Linked DNA regions of Danio rerio. The protein of the gene in region 1 interacts with the protein of each later gene in a pairwise test. Links are inferred from orthologs where the notes say so. Each region holds a gene or a part of one and is shown in the gene's direction. Other genes may lie near its edges.

What was found.
Region 2: the proteins of lmo4b (region 1) and itsn1 interact in binary tests that used the Homo sapiens proteins (3 or more experiments, as listed by UniProt). The link is inferred for Danio rerio from reciprocal best matches to the Homo sapiens genes LMO4 and ITSN1.
Region 3: the proteins of lmo4b (region 1) and nfyc interact in binary tests that used the Homo sapiens proteins (3 or more experiments, as listed by UniProt). The link is inferred for Danio rerio from reciprocal best matches to the Homo sapiens genes LMO4 and NFYC.

The regions. Positions count from the first base shown.
Region 1 is NC_133181.1:28,415,691-28,421,963, reverse strand, and holds part of lmo4b (LIM domain transcription factor LMO4b), read left to right. Parts: intron 1-3,820; coding exon 3,821-3,917; intron 3,918-4,251; coding exon 4,252-4,407; intron 4,408-6,273. UniProt on the Homo sapiens protein: Transcription cofactor. Plays a role in establishing motor neuron identity, in concert with MNX1, acting, at least in part, to disrupt LDB1-LHX3 complexes thereby negatively modulating interneuron genes in motor neurons.
Region 2 is NC_133176.1:50,353,634-50,359,906, reverse strand, and holds part of itsn1 (intersectin-1), read left to right. Parts: intron 1-1,033; coding exon 1,034-1,143; intron 1,144-3,522; coding exon 3,523-3,785; intron 3,786-5,365; coding exon 5,366-5,515; intron 5,516-6,273. UniProt on the Homo sapiens protein: Adapter protein that provides a link between the endocytic membrane traffic and the actin assembly machinery. Acts as a guanine nucleotide exchange factor (GEF) for CDC42, and thereby stimulates actin nucleation mediated by WASL and the ARP2/3 complex.
Region 3 is NC_133194.1:44,911,098-44,917,370, forward strand, and holds part of nfyc (nuclear transcription factor Y subunit gamma), read left to right. Parts: intron 1-2,488; coding exon 2,489-2,650; intron 2,651-2,824; coding exon 2,825-2,932; intron 2,933-3,141; coding exon 3,142-3,201; intron 3,202-5,195; coding exon 5,196-5,318; 3' UTR 5,319-6,273. UniProt on the Homo sapiens protein: Component of the sequence-specific heterotrimeric transcription factor (NF-Y) which specifically recognizes a 5'-CCAAT-3' box motif found in the promoters of its target genes.

The DNA.
Region 1 (6,273 bases):
AGGGAGAGCGAGAGAATTAATTTGGGGAGAGAGCAATCATGTGACCGTTAGGTCGTAGGGAAAAACACTGTCCTTTTAATTGAATAGAGCCAGGTAATTAAATGGCACTTTTCCAATAGAACGTGCTAGGTAAATCTAATAGTTGGTTATTTAATATCACTTTGAAGTCTGCCCACTCAAGCACTATGACAGCACGGGAGCATGTGAACTATTAAGCCAGGAAATACTTGGATCTCAGAAATTAATTAAATTGCATGCAATTTAGGGGAAACGTTTATCTTGATTTGTCATAACAGAATTAATTCAAGGCCTTCAATCCACTTGGGACTAGATCTGTTACTCTGAATTAACCGAGTGTCATTTGGCTGCTTTCAGCCCCCTTCACCCGCCTGCACGCTCTTTTTGCCTGAAATCTCCCCCTACCCACCCCATCCCTTCCACCCCACCCTCTCTCTCTCTCTCTCTTTTTCGCTCCCTCCCTCTCTCTCTACCTAATGTAACACTGCCATTATGCAAAGCCCTGCTTAAGTATCAATATGGCCCAGTGCTTTTAAGGTGCTTTGCCTGCTAATGTTGAGAGGCATTTTTATAATGGACTGTGTTGCAGAAATCATTGTTGTACCAACTTGCATCACTCCACTCAAAAGGTTCCGCTTAAAAGGCAGAGCTTCTGCCAGATGGCCCAAAACAGCCCTGCTAGGTTGTATTTTACTTCACAGTCGGTATCCAAATTAAATCCTCTAGACATTGCCTATGGAGCGCAGACAGATTTCTTGTCTTGCTTTCGTAATGAAAGACAGCCGTAGATTGTAGCCCTTCTTTATTCCACCCTTTTCGAGGCCGAGCAAGTCGATAAATCAGCATTCCGCGATGTTTCGCTGACAAAATCCTCCTCCTCTGATTGATCAAGAGGCTGAATACCTAGAAAGTGGGAAAAGCAACAAAGGGAAAGGCTGATTTGAGGAGAAGGAAGCCAAATCTGGTGGTGTCATTGCAATTAAAGAGTCCCTTGGCCTTAATTATGGTGACCCGTGATATTGCTGCTCTACGCTTCCCTCGTCAGCACAGGAGTTCAATGGTGAGAGAGACCATTAGAGGTGAGGAGCAGACTGATAGCAACTTAATTGAGCACCTAAAACCTTCAGGCCTTTAAATCAAATGCTATCAGCAGCCTTTCCCCGCTCAAATAATTAACCTGCTATGCTACGTATACAGAGCTGCAGGAGCATAAAAAGGTTGCCTTGGAGAATCTTCAGGCTTTTTCTCTGGAAGACAACTGGTGCAATTAAAAGGGGAGCCCGGATCCCAAATAATGCATACTTGTAAGCGAATTTAGGTGTGAGCGCTCGGGGATTGTCGAATCAAGCGTACGTCGTGGCTCGGCTGATTGCTTTCTCAAGGCCAGGGGAAGATGTCATTTTACAGGTGAATCAAACTGCAGCTTTTAAAGACCTTCCCCCCTGACATTTGCCTAGCATGACTGGCCCATCGACGCCATTGAAGCCGCGCTGTTGTCACAAGCCTACAGCTAATTACGTTTGAAATTGAGTTTTGATTGAGCTGCTCCAATCGATGCCACAGCCAAATTTGTTTTTCCCTCCCCCCTTCACCCTACAGCCACCGCTGAAGAGAAACTCTTAAAGCTTCACTTGCTCGTTGTGTAGCGGCCCCAATAAACACCACACGTGTATGCAAAACATCGCAGGTGACAGCTGTTTCAGTGTCGGAACGCACATGTTCTCATGTGTGGCAGATGTAGTATCAGAGTCTACACAATGCACGTTTACCGGTTTACCAGTTGGAAGCATTTTGAGGGACCAAATCATCCTTGAACTTTTAGGTTAATCTGTAACTGTTTACATACGGAAGGTACTTGCAATGCTTCCCTTTTCCCTCTATCCTTTTTGTGTCTTTTCCCCATTACCCTCCCTCTTTCCTTTTAACAGTCTTTTTCTTTCTTTCTTGCTTCCTTCCTCATATTTCCCTCCCTCTCTCTCTCTCTCTCTCCCTCTCTCTCTCTCCCTCTCTCTCTCTCTCTCTCTCCCTCTCTCTCTTTCTCTCTCTCTCTCTCTGGAGCTTGTCAGATGCTGTGGTCTTATTTGATTGCATAGGAAAAGTGCAGTGATAGAGCAAACAGCCAGTGAGATATGATGACAAATGGGTCCAGATCCCAGTAAATTACTTTCTGCTCAAATCGAAATTTCATTCAGTTTGTTGCTCGGCAAGATGAAGTAATCTAAATTGTGGACTCAGAAGGCAGATAGAAAGGAAGCAGGAGCAAGCATTTCATTATCAAGAGACTGAGTGAGAGAGAGAGAGAGAGAGAGGGAAGGTTAGAGACGAAAGAGATGAGCAGAAGCAAATCTAAAGTGTTGACACCATGATTGAAAAGGTTAACCCATGCACATTATATATCAACCCGGGTAGCCGAGGGTTTCTAATGGAAAGGCGGCAGTGACTGAGCACTCGCTTGAGTCCTAATGGCAAAAGCGCTGTGTCTCCGCCTAGATGTACAATCAAATATTCTTAGGCCCTGATTGCTTATGTTCTAGGTTATTATTAGGTTGCAAAAAATGAGCACCAAAGGTAATACTTAGTCCCAGTGGTAGAGGCTTTTGGAGGACAGGATGCAGGATTTTTTCATTTGGTTTGCGATATTACTATGATTTTATTTTTTCTACATCAGAATATTGAAGATGTAATTTGTTCTGCTTGTGTGTGTGTGTGTCTGAGAGAGAGAGAGAGACTGAGAGAGATTGAGAGAGGGTGAGGAGGAGGCCCTGGAACAAGATTGAAATGATTTAACCTGTACTTGCTCAAGGATTTCATTGTTACAGTAAAACAAGGCCAAACAGGTTAATAAACCTTGCTGATGCACATGGAAGTATTCATTATATTAATGACTGCACTGTCCATATCCAGTGTTTTATTTTCAATCTCAGTCATCAGTAAATGAATGGTTTTGTCATTTAGTAAATTAATGGTTTTGTCATTTAGTCGACAATAGGATGTTATTATGCCATATGACTGACTTTCTAACATAGAAGCCAAAAAGAGATATTTTGATAAATGCTAATGCTGTTCTTTTCCATACAATGAAAGTAAATGGTGATCATAGCTTTTAAGCTCCAAAAAGACAAAAAAAAACAAAAAAAAAAACTGTCTGGATGCAATTTATATGCTTTTAATTGCATTTGTACAAGTAGTTGGTACTGTTATTCAGCAGATACACATTAACCTGACCAAAAACTAAATTCTTAAAAAAAAAAAAAAAAAAAAGTGTAACAATAGTTCTTAATGACCAACAAGGGAGTCTGTATGCAATATATACCCTACAAAAACATTTATCTTCGTGCTTGTAGTTGTTAATGTTTTTCAGAAGCCATGCATTAACTTCAATAAAAGTAAATTATTCTTAAAAACAAAAAAAGAAAATCATTCCTAGCTCAAACTTTTGAATGGTAGTGTAACAATAGTTCTTATTTAATACAGTAGGGTTGTTTAAAGAGCATCATCCAATTAGTTATTGATAAAATGTCACTGAATTGGAAAAAAAATACAAATAAATAAATTGTGGGGACAACTGCAATTGTTTACATGGGTTATATAAATTTATAAATGGACCATATTAATGAGTAAATATTGCTCATGATATGTTGGTGTGACATTATATTGATTGATTGAGATCTACCATATTTTGCTGGTCATTTAAATCATACTACAATTTCATAGATTTCAGCTATTTCGTCTAAGACATATTCGGTGCTCTGGATATATGTTGCTTTGGCACTACTAACATGTTTTCTATTTCTTTTCCCAGGTTATTTGGGAACAGTGGGGCATGCAGTGCGTGTGGTCAGTCCATCCCAGCCAGTGAACTGGTTATGAGGGCACAGGGAAACGTGTACCATCTCAAGGTAACCTTTTATCTAGAAGTGACCACTGCTGCTCTAAAATTAAATGCTCAATTGCATTACAAAATCCTTTCACACTCCACAGAGTTTTCTGATTGTTTGAAGGTGTTCTGTTGAATAGTTTTTCATAAGCTTATAATTGATATCAAATCAAATGCCTTTTATGTACATTTTAATCAATGTTTTCTGTGTCCCTCCACAAAAATAATTGCAAAATAATAAAAAACAAAAAGGAATAATAGCTTCACCTTTCAAGAAAATGTTCTGCAGGTTATGTGTAGGAAGTAATGTGCTAAGGATTGTGTGTAATGTAGTTCTTTTGTTTTGTTTCCTGCAGTGTTTCACATGTTCTACCTGCCGGAACCGGCTTGTCCCTGGTGACAGGTTTCACTACATCAACGGCAGCTTGTTTTGTGAACACGACAGACCCACAGCACTCATCAATGGCCATTTGAGTTCATTGCAGACTAACCCTCTACTGCCTGACCAGAAAGTAAGAGCCATAGTCGGTCATCTAATTGTTCTTATCACTTCACATATCAACATATCACTGCTGGATGGAAAACTTTAAATCTACTACTTGTTAGCTTGGCTTCACATATGGGCAAAAAAATTTTCTTGTGTGATAACAGTTCGCTTAAATCGAAGTTAAATGGAGCTTAAAGGTAAAATCTCATAAGGTTAATGAATGTAAAACAATTAAGGCAACCAGGTATTTTTTTACATTGTGGGAGTATCTTCAGTTAAACAAACAAACAAACAAACAAAACAAATCTATAAAGAAAAAACTGTATGTTGAGATGGCATTATTCACTACACAATTCTTCCAGAAAATATATTGCAGCAATATATTTATTATATATATATATATATATAACTTTGCAAGTGTGATTACGCGATTTAACATTTGACACCTAATCAAGCTTAAATGGAGTTTTTTTTTTATTTATTTACTTATTATTGTTATTATATTATTAGTTTTTTTTATACAAACGCTGGAGAGATGTGCTTTGTCAAACGTAAGACTGTCTTCATCTGAGGCAGTGCATTGCAGGTTATTCCTTTACTTTGTATTTAAGTGGGTGCTCGGTTTTTCTTGTTCTTAAAATATCTATAAGTTTATAAAATAAACTTATTTACGATAATATTGGTAGTGGCAAGCAGACAAATTATAAAATAAAATTTTCTATCTGTTTCAAAAACTGTTTTAATTTACTTTTGCACTGCATACAAGCAGTGATGTTCCAATTTATTTAAAAATGGAGACGGGTCAGAGATTTGAGGTTTTGCAGACAATTTGGTTTAGGTACAGCACTGATTTATAAGAAAACTGTTCTGACTGAAAAAAAATCCATCTTACACAGACATTATTTAGCCAATCATTTAATCAGAAATATTAGATCATACTAGAAGTTTTGCTTTATATTAGAAGTATTGTTTTTCTGTTTTATGTACATGTATAATATTAAAGAATATGCTATGTCTTTTAGAGGACGAGCGTAATTCAGCCTAGCTGAAAGCCAATTTATCACTATTAATGCTAACTTTCTCAAATGAGATCACAGCTAATGCAAGCCTTTTAGTTCTAGGATAGGTAAGCAAAGGGAAAACTATTTTCTCCTCCTCCTCCTAACCAAGATCCATTCATATGCAAAACCGATATATAATTCATATTTGTTACCGATTTCCATAACCAAATTACATCCCTTATATGTTCACTGAAGATGCAGCAAAAAGATGGTGTCTTTTTGTTCTTTGTTTTGGTTTTACAACAAGACTTCCATAACAATATGAAAGCTAGCTTGCATAAAGCATTCTGTCCCATTTTTCTGCCATGTTTTCACCGCCATAGTCCTGTCTGACTATTTGCTCCTCCGAGGCTGCACAGCAAGCTTTAAATAAACAAAACCAGACGCCAAGCAGGCAAATTATTTACCTAATTCCCCTTCTCGCCTTTGGGACCGTCTGCAATAAGACTTCATTGTGCAGTCAGCCACCAGCCGATTGTATCACTCGGCAGCACTGAAAATAACGGCTCAGTGACACATAATCAGTATTGATATGGAGACAACAGGGATGTGGGAGCGAGAGAGAGAGATCGGACAGTTGTTGAGTCTCCTAGTGAACATTTATTTCACCTTCAACAGGGGGAAAAAAATAGTTGGATGAAAGAGCAGAGAAAGAGCTCCATTAAGCTCAGTGCTCCGTTAGAGGCCTTTTAAGGCATCGTCACTTTTACAAATTAGCTCCAAGAGCGTGTTGCGTTTCAAATTGAAAGCCTTCGCATTATCAAGCTTAATTTTAAATGTCTGTTTAAGCCCCCGTCCCTCCATTCCTCCTCCTGCTCTCGCTCGGCGGC
Region 2 (6,273 bases), on another chromosome or scaffold:
CACGAATATGAAAGGAACTGTTAACGATCTAATGTTGGAGTTCAACATTGCTGTTTCTGGATAAATTACATGACCCAAAGAAAAAAACTCGCTCAATGCAGCGAATAATCCAGATGCAGCCGGCTGACGCAAATAAATGCAATAAAATGTAAGCCACTGGCCTAGCATGAGTAATTAATATAAAATGAATGAACCTCTATATGTATGTACATGTTGAAATAAACCGTATAAAAATAATGGGGAAATAAATCACCTTGAAAAAGGTCCCCTTTTAACAATCATTATGAGTTTACTTTCACTGTAATTTTATAAATGGTTTAATTGATATTATCATTATTATTATTATTATTATTATTATTATTATTATTATTATAAAAGTATTGAATACAATCTTGTTAAATTTGATCTTTTAATGACAGCTAGCAAGGTTCTTGAGGTAAAGGTTTTTTTTTCTCTTGCATTTTTCTATATTATATAATTATGATATGCTTAAGCTAATTATATAGGTTAATAACCTTAAACCTTTTTTTTGTAACCCTTAAAAAATTGTGTGTGAATAATAAAAAAAAAGCTATACATCATATACTATGCATGCATTTCTGCACATATGCAATGATAAAATTAACATTTTGACTCTGGATGGATATAAACCTGGTGTTGGAGACCTTTAAAACTAAATTAGCAAACATGTAGGTCACATTAAAGCTTCCTTTTGCAATTAATTTACCATTAGCAACAACAAGCAGATGTGTAATTTATTTGTGCAACTATATTGAGCTTAAAAGTTTGACATCTGTTGTGCTTTTTGCCTCTTCTCTAGAATAAGAAGTCACCGCCCTACCTTGCACTTTACTTTTGCAATTTGACCTTATCATGTTAACAACAAATTTAAAACCGCTACAATACATGCCACATGAAAGACAAAGTCATGGTCTGCAAATGTTTGATACGTTTTATTTCCACATGACTCTTTTGCAATTAGAGACACTTGATGTTTCCATTCACTTAATGTTTTTTTTGTGTGTGTGCGTAGGAGAATGCGCTCTGGTAGTGGAGTGTCTGTGACTAGCATGCACTCGACAGACTTGCGGTCTCAGGAAGAGCCAGAGGAGGAGGAGAAAGAGGCCGAGAAAAAACTTCCAGGTCAGGAAACATTGGTTAAAGTTCATGTGGTCTCAGATGACAAGTATACCCCAGAATTCAATTTGCACATTTTTTTATATGGATAGTCTTGATTATTTTTGCATTAATACCTTTCAGTGCAATGTGTTGTGAGATCTGATACCAGTTACCTATATAAATGGAGAACATCCACTGCCAACAGAGGCTGTGTTAACTGTACATTTTCCACCATTAACTTACTTTTAAAAATGTTTTTCGTCATTTAGGCTGATAAAATATCAGGTTCCTGGTTTACATTTACCTGCAGTACTTAAACAACATTATCATAGTACACAATACACTTGCACAATTACACAATTGCAAACTTACACACACAAAAAGATCTTAAAATAATAGTTTTAATAACTCATTTCTAACAATGGACTGATCTTTGCTATGATGACAGTACATACTATTTTACTAGATGTTTTTCAAGATACTAGTATTCAGTTTAAAGCACAATTTAAAGGCTTAAAGGTGCAGTAGGTGATCTTCCACAATGCTAACAGCTTAGCATAAATCTCTGAATCACAGTCCCTCCCCTGTCATTCAGAGCCACGCCTTCTGAAACACGAGCATGCGCACCTTAAAGATGACAGCAGAAGAACCCTCTCTCATGTGTTAAAAGCGACAAGTGCTTGACTGGTGGCATGCAGGAATTACACTCATTACTAAACCAAACTGACATGCTATTTCAGAGCGGATATTCAGAGTAGCATGGTAAACAATAGAAGGACAGCACCACAGGTTGTCATTGTTTAAAAATGAACCACTGGGATGTGAATATAAAACCATCTTCACCTCAGTAAAGCTGGCTAGGCGGAATAGCGCTATTTACTTGTGTTTTGTTGTTAATCTAAATAAAATCTACATTATAGATGATGTAAAAAGACCTTATGAAACTGAAAATAGTCACATCAATCTTTCATCGGAAGATTTTAGTGGCTGAACAAGACTTCTGTGCGGATATAACCCATTTGTAACAACAACATCAAACGTTACATCAGCTTTGCGTGAAGCTAAAATAGTTTTTAAACAGAACATTACCTGTCTTAGAGAAATACTTTAGCCATGGTGTCATCCTTTCTCCAGTGTGAAACGCTAACTCCAATATTGATTCAGGTTTTTATAAAGTTTTGATTCAGCATGTTTTTACAGTCTCTCTCTCCCTCTCTCTCTCTCTCTCTCTCTCTCTCAATTCAATTCAATTCAATTTAATAATTGCTTTATTGGCATGACAAATGTTACAAATGTATTGCCAAAGCAGTTATAAAGTTTACATAAAAAGTAACATATATATATATATATATATATATATATATATATATATATATATATATATATATATATATATATATATATATATATATATACAGTACACACAGTAAATAGTAGTAGTAAAAAAATATATTTATATATAATAATTAAATAAAATATCAACAATACATCATATTATTCAATATATCACATTAATATTCAATATATTATATTATTATTCAACATATCATATTATACAAATCAATACAAAAATAGATCAGAATAAACTGTACATTTAACAATCAACATTTTAGGATAAAACAGTAATAAAAACAATAATAATCAGTATATTTACAATGATTCATTTAAAATCACCTAGGTGTGTGTGTGTGTCTCTTTCTCTCTCTCTCTCTCTCTCTCTCTCTCATGAACGCGGAATGCACAAACAGCGGAGCTGCGTACAAACGGCGGAGCAGTTGTTCAAATCTGCATTTGCTGACAGTTTGGGCTACTTATCGGAATTATGGGAGATGCCAGCCCGACTCTATTTAATTGGATATTCATTTTTTAGTTTTATATCTTATTCAGAGTATAAAAATATGTATAAATACATTTAGATCATTTACTTTAATCAATACTATTGGGATGTGTAGAGACTTTCAACCAGCACAGCAAAAAGTGTTTCTAGAGACAATCACCTGCTGCACCTTTAACTAGTTATTAGGCAAGTTAGAGTAATTGGGCAAGTCATTTGTATAACGATGATTTGTTCTGTAGACATTTGAAAAAATATAAATTGCTTAACGGGGCTAATAATATTAAAAACTGCTTTTATTCCACCCAAAACATAAGACTTTTTCCAGTAGAAAAAAATATAGGAAATACTGTGAAAATGTCAAAAATTTATATATTAAAAAAAGAAAAAAAAATTCACAGGTGGGCGAATAATTCTGACTTGCACTGTACATGCACACTGATACCTGTTATTGTTTTCACAAATATGCATGCATAATTTAAAGGGGCTAAATGCTAATTAAATGGTCTTTTGCAGCATGAAATGTTGTACATCAATCTCCTAAAATTGTTTCCATAATTTCCCTTCAGTCACATTTGAGGATAAGAAACGAGAGAACTTTGAGCGCGGAAACCTGGAGTTGGAGAAACGTCGACAGGCACTTCTGGAGCAGCAGAGGAAAGAGCAGGAGCGACTGGCGGCGCTGGAGAAAGAAGAGCAGGAGCGGAAGGAGAGGGAACGACTGGAGCAGGAGAGACGCAGACAGCAGGAGCTGGACAAACAGCTGGAGAGACAGAGGGAGCTGGAGCGACAGCGGGAGGAGGAGAGACGCAAGGAGATCGAGAGAAGAGAGGTGCGTTCTCAAGTTCTCGGAAATCCATGAGTGAAAAGTAGGGCCTGACAGAATCTGCTGACATTTGTTGCTATTTCTGCTGAGAATTTTGTTAAAAATCTGTGGATTTATGCGGAAATGTTGTGGGAGTATCATAACTAAAAACTTAATATATGAAATAAAAATTAATAACTTTTATTTAATGTTTTTACAATGCAAATCGAATTAGATCCACTCAAACAAAGCAAATCTTTCATATAATAAATCGACTAAACGACAGAAAATATTACTTTACAAACTGTATTGTAAATAAATCAAATGAACATTTTCATATCAGTCAATAATATTACTGAAAATAGTTTAAAAACTGAATAAATATAAATTTACACAAGTAAATAAATAGACTCAGTGATGGGACAAAAATCCGTGGATTTCTGCGCTCACAGATTCCGTGTGGGCCTAGTGATAAGTAGTGCTGAACAATATATTGTGATAAGTATGGTTATCGCGATAATAGCATATGCAATGATTGTATCGCTGTTGTGTGTAGTTGAATTACATTTTATTTAATACATTGGTTGATTTTAGCTACAGTTAAAGTCAGAATTATTATCCCTTTAAAATTACTTTTAAATTTTTACCCAATTTATTTTCAACTGAGTTTTTTCAACACACTTCTGAGCATAATAGTTTTAATAACTCATTTCTAATAACCGATTTCTTTTATCTTTGCCATGATGACAATATGTGCTATTTTACTAGATATTTTTAAGATACTATTGACTATTGTTCAGCTCAAAGTGCAATTTGAAGACTTAATTAGGTTAATTAGGCAAGGTATTGTATAATGATGGTTTGTTCTGTAGACTATCGAAAAATTCATCTGCTTAAGAGGACTAATAATATTGACCTTAAAATGTTTTTTGATTTTATTGTAAAATAAGTTTTTTAGGGAAATATCATTTAATATTGTTTTTATATTGTAAGAAATACTATTATGTTGGCGCCAGTGGTGTAGTGGTTAGTACAACGGCACATGCACTCGCGGCGACCCGAGTTCGATTCCGCCTCGCAGTCCTATGCCGATATTTCCCCTCTCTCTCTGCTTCCCATTGCTTTCCTGTCAATTCTCTCTACTTTCCTATCCAATAAAGGTGAAAACCCCGAAAAAATTACTATTAAAAAAAAAAAAAAAAAATGCTATTATATCATGCAATATTCAACAACATAGTCGCACATTTTCCCAGTGCCTTGAAGCCAGAGTGTTCAGCACTATTGACACTATCATTAACCCTTGTGTTATTTTGTGTGTGCTCTCACCATGATGCATATTTTATTTGAATGTGGACATTTAAGTACTGTTAGACAAAAACACTTTATTTTATGTTTTTAAAAGGAATCACCAGGATGAATTTGAAGTTATTTATCAAATATTAAATTGAGAAAAATCATGTTTGACTTTGTATTAATGTGAGCCATCTCTTAATGAATTATGAAGTTGTTCTATCATGTAGTGTTTTTATGCAAATTGATCTTGCCATGAAATAGCCATAAGTTGCTTATGTGGCAATAAATAAATAAATGATTTTGTGTGTTTGAAGGCTGCTAAACGGGAGCTGGAGCGACAGAGGCAGCTGGAGTGGGAGAGGACGCGCAGACAGGAGCTGCTCACCCAAAGGAACAGAGAACAGGAGAACATCGTCCTGCTCAAAGCACGGAAGAAAACTCTCGAGTTTGAGCTGGAGGCTCTGGCATGTGCACTTTCATCTCTCAGAAAAATAATTGTCTAAACTACTTACTTAGAATGAGCCGAAACAACACAATTCTTGAGATATTTTTTGGAGACAACTTACTTTTTTATGTTCTATCCACTTAAACTTGTCAAAACCAATGAACTTAATTTATTTGTGTTGGGACATCGTGAATGACTTGTTTTTGACCCTGCATTTTTACAGTGGTGGTTAACACTTTTAAATACGTAGGGTATAAACAATTAATTTTGCTTGATCAAATAACATGCTTAAAATCATCTGAAATAACACAATTCTCAAGTTTTTTGGGGAGCAACTTAATTGTTTTCTGTTCAGTTCACTTAAAGTAAAAAAAAACGAACAAATTTTAGGTTGTTTTAACACCAATTGATTGCATTTTTACAGTATGTAGAACAAATTTAAAGTGCCATATATATATATATATATATATATATATATATATATATATATATATATATATATATATATATATATATATATATACACAGTAAAGTCAGAATTATTAGTCCCCCTAAATTATTAGCCCCCTGTTTATTTTCAACACATCTCTAATCATAATAGTTTTATTAAGTAAATAATATTTGACTAGATATTTTTCAAGACACGTCTTTACAGGTTAAAGTGGAATTTAAAGGCTTAACTAGGTTAATTAGGTTAACTAGGCAGGTTAGGTTAATTAGACAAGTTATTGTATAACGATGGTTTGTTCTGTAGACTATCGAAAAAAATATATGGCT
Region 3 (6,273 bases), on another chromosome or scaffold:
CAAACGCCTGCTCCATGCTGCTTCTGCTCTCCATATCCTCACGTCGGGTGAGAAACAGGCGTGACTCCCGACTATATTGACAAATACACACCAATGTTGCACGCTTGGTGTCCAAAATGGAAGTCTGTGGTTGGGTCAGCCCAATAAAATACTAAAATAATAATAATAATTTTAAGGTCAATATTATTAGCCCCCATATATATATATATATATATATATATATATATATATATATATATATATATATATATATATATATATATATATATTTTTTTTTTTTTTTATAGTCTACAGAAAAAAACACTAATACAATTACTTGCCTAATTAACCTAGTTAAGCCTTTAAATGTCACTTTAAGCTGAAAATTAGCATCTTTAAAAATATCTAGTAAAATATTGTGTTGTCATCATGTCAGATAAAAGAAATCATTTATTAGAAATGAGTTATACAAACTTTATTAGAAATATGATAAGTACAAGTGTAAAATAAATACAGGGGGCCTAATAATTCTGACTTCAACTGTATATCTGATAAAATAAATGATCCAAGCATGGAATTAAAGGCTGAATTCTCCTAAACAGCAGATATTATTGACCAGGGCAGAATCTGCAATTCATATGTCCTCAACCTGATGTTACATGAGGTCACGGTACGTCTCGGGCCAGATAAAGTTGTGCTGCTTAATAAATTGTCCCGTGCTCTCGGGTGTCAGTTCCTGAAGAGGAGAGATCGTCTGTCGCACCTCCGCAGTCCAGGTTTCTCCGCTCCACACGAGAAGCCCGGGGTCACAGTCTCGCATCTCTCCTCTTTCCTCAACACTTCTTCAGTTTCACTTTCTTTTGGAGAGCTTCCCATATTCACAGGAGAGTGTTGAGCTGCGGTTCTAATGCTAGACTCTCTGGTTCAGCTTAAACCTTTATGGGATCCTTAATGCAATGTTCATTTGGGAAAGTCCTTGTGTTGTTGGGGGTCATTACAAGGCTTTTGTGGCTGAAAAGAAAAACATATTGTAATCAATGTCCATGAAGTGACTATACAGTTGAGGTCAGATTTATTGGGGCTTATTATTTTGAATTTCCTTTGAATTTCTTTTTCTTTTTTAAAATATTTTTTCCAAATAATGTTTAACAGAGCAAGAAAATTTTCACAGCATGATGATAAATATTAATTATTCATTAATTGTTAAACGGGGGCTAATAATTTAGGGGGAGGGGGAGTAATAATTTTGACTTCAACTGTACATAGTTCTTCAATTTCTAACTGCATTTTTTCATCTGTTGAAGTAAAGCAGATGTGTCCTGTAACTTGATGCTGGTTGGTTTAGTCTGGTTAAATGGAAATGTCAATAGAATGATTTAATGCCTTTTCTCTTTCTCATCTTTTTCCTTTTCATCTTATTTTTTCTTCTTTTTCTTAAATTTCTTATGATTATTCTTTAAAAAAAATTGTTTTCTTGTTATTTTTCTTTGATTTTCTTTTTCTTTTTTTCTTTTTACTTTGTTCTTTTGCTTTTTTCTTTCTTTCCTTTTTTCTTTCTTTTCTTCTTTTGCTTTCTTCTTTCTTTCCTCTTTTATAATTTTAAGCTTTTTTCTTTATCCTTTTTTTCTTTCTCTCCACCCTTTAATTTCCTTTTTCTTTTGCTTTTTATTTCGTCTTTCTTTTTTGCTTCTTTCTTTTCTAATTTTTCTTTCTTTTTGCTTCTTTTTCTTTCTTTTCTGCTTTTTTGCTTTTTTCTGCATATTTTGCCTTTTACTCCTTTCTTTTCTTCTTTCCTTTTTCTTTTTTCCTTCCGTCTTCTTTTCTTTTTCTTTCTTTCCTCCTTTTTTTTCTTCTTTCTTTTTTCCTTCTTTTGCTTTTTCTTTTCTTCTTTCTTTCCTCCTTTTTTCTTTTTCTTCTTTCTTTTTTTTCTTCCTTCCTTCGCTTTTCTTTTCTCATTTTTCTTTTTTTTCTGTTCTTCCTTTTCTTTCTTTTCTTCTTTTGTCATTCTTCTTTTTTCTTTTTTTAATCTTCTCTTGCGTTCTTTTCTTTCTTTTGCTTTTTCTTCACCTTCAAATGTTTTCTTGATTTACTGGATTTATAACGTATGGATGTAACTTATTTCATAGAGATCTTATAATTAAATACATTATACCTAATTACAATACATCATACTCTATTACAAATGTTCTCTTAAATTTCCATTTCTCTGTGTGGACGCGTGTCAACATTTGAAGTCGATCAAAAGGTTTGAACTACTGAACAACGTCCATTCTTGTCTAAAGACAACTTTTTTTGATCAAATGTTGACAACTGCGTAAATGCATAAATGTCTACACGGGTACTATTTTTGTAATGCAAGTATATTACACAATATAACTGTTGAAAATGCACACATTTCTGGAAATATATCCTCATCTTACAACTCTCATAGCAGTTGTAAATTGACTGTAAAACATGAATTGTTGGGAGCTGCAGTTCAGCCCTCATGCTTTCATCCTTCTACTTTCAGAGTGCTCCGGTGACCATGCAGGTGGGCGAGGGTCAGCAGGTGCAGATCGTCCAGGCTGCTGCACAGGGACAGGCCCAGGCACAGACAGCACAGCCAGCCGGACAGACCATGCAGGTCATGCAGCAGATCATCACCAACACAGGAGAGATCCAGCAGATTCCAGTAAGAGGATGTCACGTTTACCTTTTTGTTTCATGATTGTGGTCTCTTTAAATGAGCTCTAGGCTAATTATGGGTACAGTAGCATATGTGGTGTTCATGAAGACCAGACTGATTTGCTGTTAGATGGAGGTGATGTTGTGTTCATCTGCGCCCTCTTGTGGTGGTGTTCTGCAGGTGCAGCTCAACACTGGCCAGCTGCAGTACATTCGCCTGGCTCAGCCCGTCTCAGGAACACAGGTGGTTCAAGGACAGATACAGACACTCGCAGCAAACACTCAGCAGGTAAATCATGAATACACACACAAACTGATTTCCAGATGAGATTTTACTGTGATATTTTTTACTGACACATTATTTTTGGTCACACTAATAATACGTGATTCTCCTTTTGAGAAATTGAGGATTTTCTTATGATACATACCTTTTTATAATTTTGATTAGTGTAATTAATAATGGCTGTTATTTTTTGATGATTGTTTTTTTTTTTTTAGCTTTCACAAACAGAAGTACAACAGGGTCAGCAACAGTTCAACCAGTTTACTGACGGGCAGGTGAGGACTTTTCTTCTTTATTTAATTTATCCATTGGGCAAAACATGTTAGCCCTCCTTGTGCTGCCAAAACAGCGCCAACTTACCGAGGCATGGACTCGGGGGTCTGCAACATATTTTGTAGTATGGACCAGTGTTCGTATTAACAATTTTTAATGTATTTTAGTTATTATGTACATAATTACATCTATATCACAAATTCATACAACAACAAACTAATACATCTCACTATAATAGAGAGAGTAGAGAGAGAGATGTTTGTTTCCCACTCATGCTGTAGTAACTGTATCTTATAAAGATTGGCGTCACACCCTTTGCATTGTAAATATGTTGGTAAGCAACGCAAACAGATGCCAATAATGGCGTTGTTTGTACCTTCATAAAAAAAGCTTTAAATTTCTAGTAGGGGAGCTGTGCACCGCGTCTGGTCTGCTATGTACACAGATATGGATATTGATTGTTGAAAGGAAGACTCAAAATAAAGTGGGATCTCGGAAAGAATTTTTTGCAAGAATACAAATTTACACTTTCACTGCATGAGACACGAGGAACAGATGCTTTGTCAAGTTGTGAATTTATTTTTTATTTTTTTATTTTTTTAATTAGACAATTTCTAATCTTTAGTATTTTCATTTTTTAAAATGTTTTACTTACAGTTTCATTTCACTGTTGTTTATATACTATGAAGACATTAAGGCGTTAATCTGGGGTCATTTTTGGATTTTATTTTGGGCCGGTCCTGCTTTATATTAAGTGGTCGTAACTACTTGGTACTTGCATGTACTTATTTTATTCATATTGTTTTGCACAACACTTATGGAGCTACTGATATTTTTTCAAGACACATTTATACAGCTTAAAGTGACATTTAAAGGCTTAACTAGGTTAACTAGCTTAATTAGGCAGGTTAGGGTAATTAGGCAAGTTATTGTATAATGATGATTTGTTCTGTAGACTATCGGAAAAAATATATAGCTTAAAGGGGCTAATGATTCTGACCTTAAAATGTTGTTTAAACAATTCAAAACTGCTTTTATTTTAGCTGAAATAAAACAAATAAGACTTTCTCCAGAAGAAAAAATATTATCAGACATACTGTGAAAATTTCCTTGCTCTGTTAAATATCATTTAGGAAATATTAAAAAAAAAAAATTTTAAAGGAGGCTACAAATTCTGACTTCAGCTGTGTGTATGTATATATATGTGTATATATATATATATATATATATATATATATATATATATATATATATATATATATATATATATATATATATATTAGAGGTGTGAACCTATACTGGTCTCACGGTTCGGTTCGGTTACGATTATCCTGCCTTCGGTTCAATTCGATATTTCGGTGCATCACGGTGCATTGACGATGCTTTCCATATACAGTGTTATATTTTAGAGGGGAGGCTATAACAAGCTGTCTGTATAGACACACAGCACCACACTGTCTCTCATTCAAACACAAACATAGACGGCACCAAAGAAACAAACACACACACACGCACACACACACACTCAAGCCCTCGCAACTGGAAGAGCTCGCCAAGAGCGGAGCAGAAAAACGAAAAAAATAAGCACTTTTCCGACGGTCCCTTACAGAGAGCTCCTCTCAGCGCGAGCTCTCCCGGCTAAAGTAAACGCAGACTGCGAGGGCTTAAACGGAGCAGTGCTCGTAATGCGGGCCTGGTTCAAGGCAACTGTACTTAGTCTGATTATGCCCTAAGAGTGTCCCGTAATTTCCAATCCCATTGTTGATAGTAATGGTCATGGTTAGTCATGTAACCTATTGCTTTAATGTCCTTAAATGAAACACTGACGCATATTTAAAAGCTATTTCCTTCATTTAACAGACATTTTCTGACTGCAACATTTCAGAAATATAATTTAGTGACATCTAAAAAAAAAAAAATGAATGTTGGGAATGTTGTCAGTAGTAGTCAGTCTCCATTAACACCCGATGCCTCTCCTGTCCCTGTGCCCCTGCAGCAGCTCTATCAGATCCAGCAGGTGACGATGCCGGCAGGACAGGAGCTGACCCAACCCATGTTCATCCAGTCCACCAATCAGACAGCTGACGGGCAGGTCACTACGCAGGTCAGCGCAGACTGAGCCCATCCATCATGAAGCCCCCCCGGCACTATCAAAACAGTGGAGGAGGAGACAAACAACACCCAAACCTTCCACTTCCCATCATCTCTTCATCAAGACGTCAATCCAGAAACCCAATAATAAACCTTAGATTCAAGCTTCCCATAATTTACCGTCCAAAAACAGTTTGGGTCTCTTCACTGAGTGATGGAAGGATCAATGTATAGCGGCAGAGGTTTGCTTTCTGCCATTGATTTCAGCTACGTGTCTTCTGCAATATGGAGTATGAACCACTGTCTTCCTCACAGTATAGGTTGATATGTCCTCGTTTCATAGTTGGGCTAGAGATTATGCTTCAGTGATAGTGATATTAGGGTAAAACCAGAGCTGAAGGGCACTTGGGCTTGTACAGTGGTCTTTATTTTTTAATTTCTTTTATTAAGCCCTCACCCAGATCATGCCATCTCATGATGTGTAGACTTCTAAACTCGATGATTAAAAGCCATAATCTACACATTCTGTATCTCTGTAGTTTGGTTCTGTGATTGATTAGTAATGGTAATAGTTCTGTTGTAGTATCTCTTGTATAGTTTTTGATAAGGTTGTGTTTGTTAAAGGGCTTCTTCTTGTTGGGTTTTCTACATGCAGAATGGTCCCCCCCCCCTCTCTCTCTCTCTCGGTGTGAATGTGTTTGAATGTGCTTTTTCCTTGCGTGTCTTTCTGGACCACATTTAAAGAGGCTTCCTCTGCTGGAAACGGAACAGCTCTATTGTTACCTTCCTAATGAAATAAAACCCTTTTTATATAAACATTTTAATTATTATTTTTTTTAAATCACCCTTTTGTTGTTTTTTCATATCATAAATGTTGGTCGTGTTGTTATTTTGCATGTAGTTATGACTGCCAGCATGATATGCAATACCTAGGTACAGATTTTATTTTTGTGTTTTGTGTTTATTTTGTAAACAGACCTTGG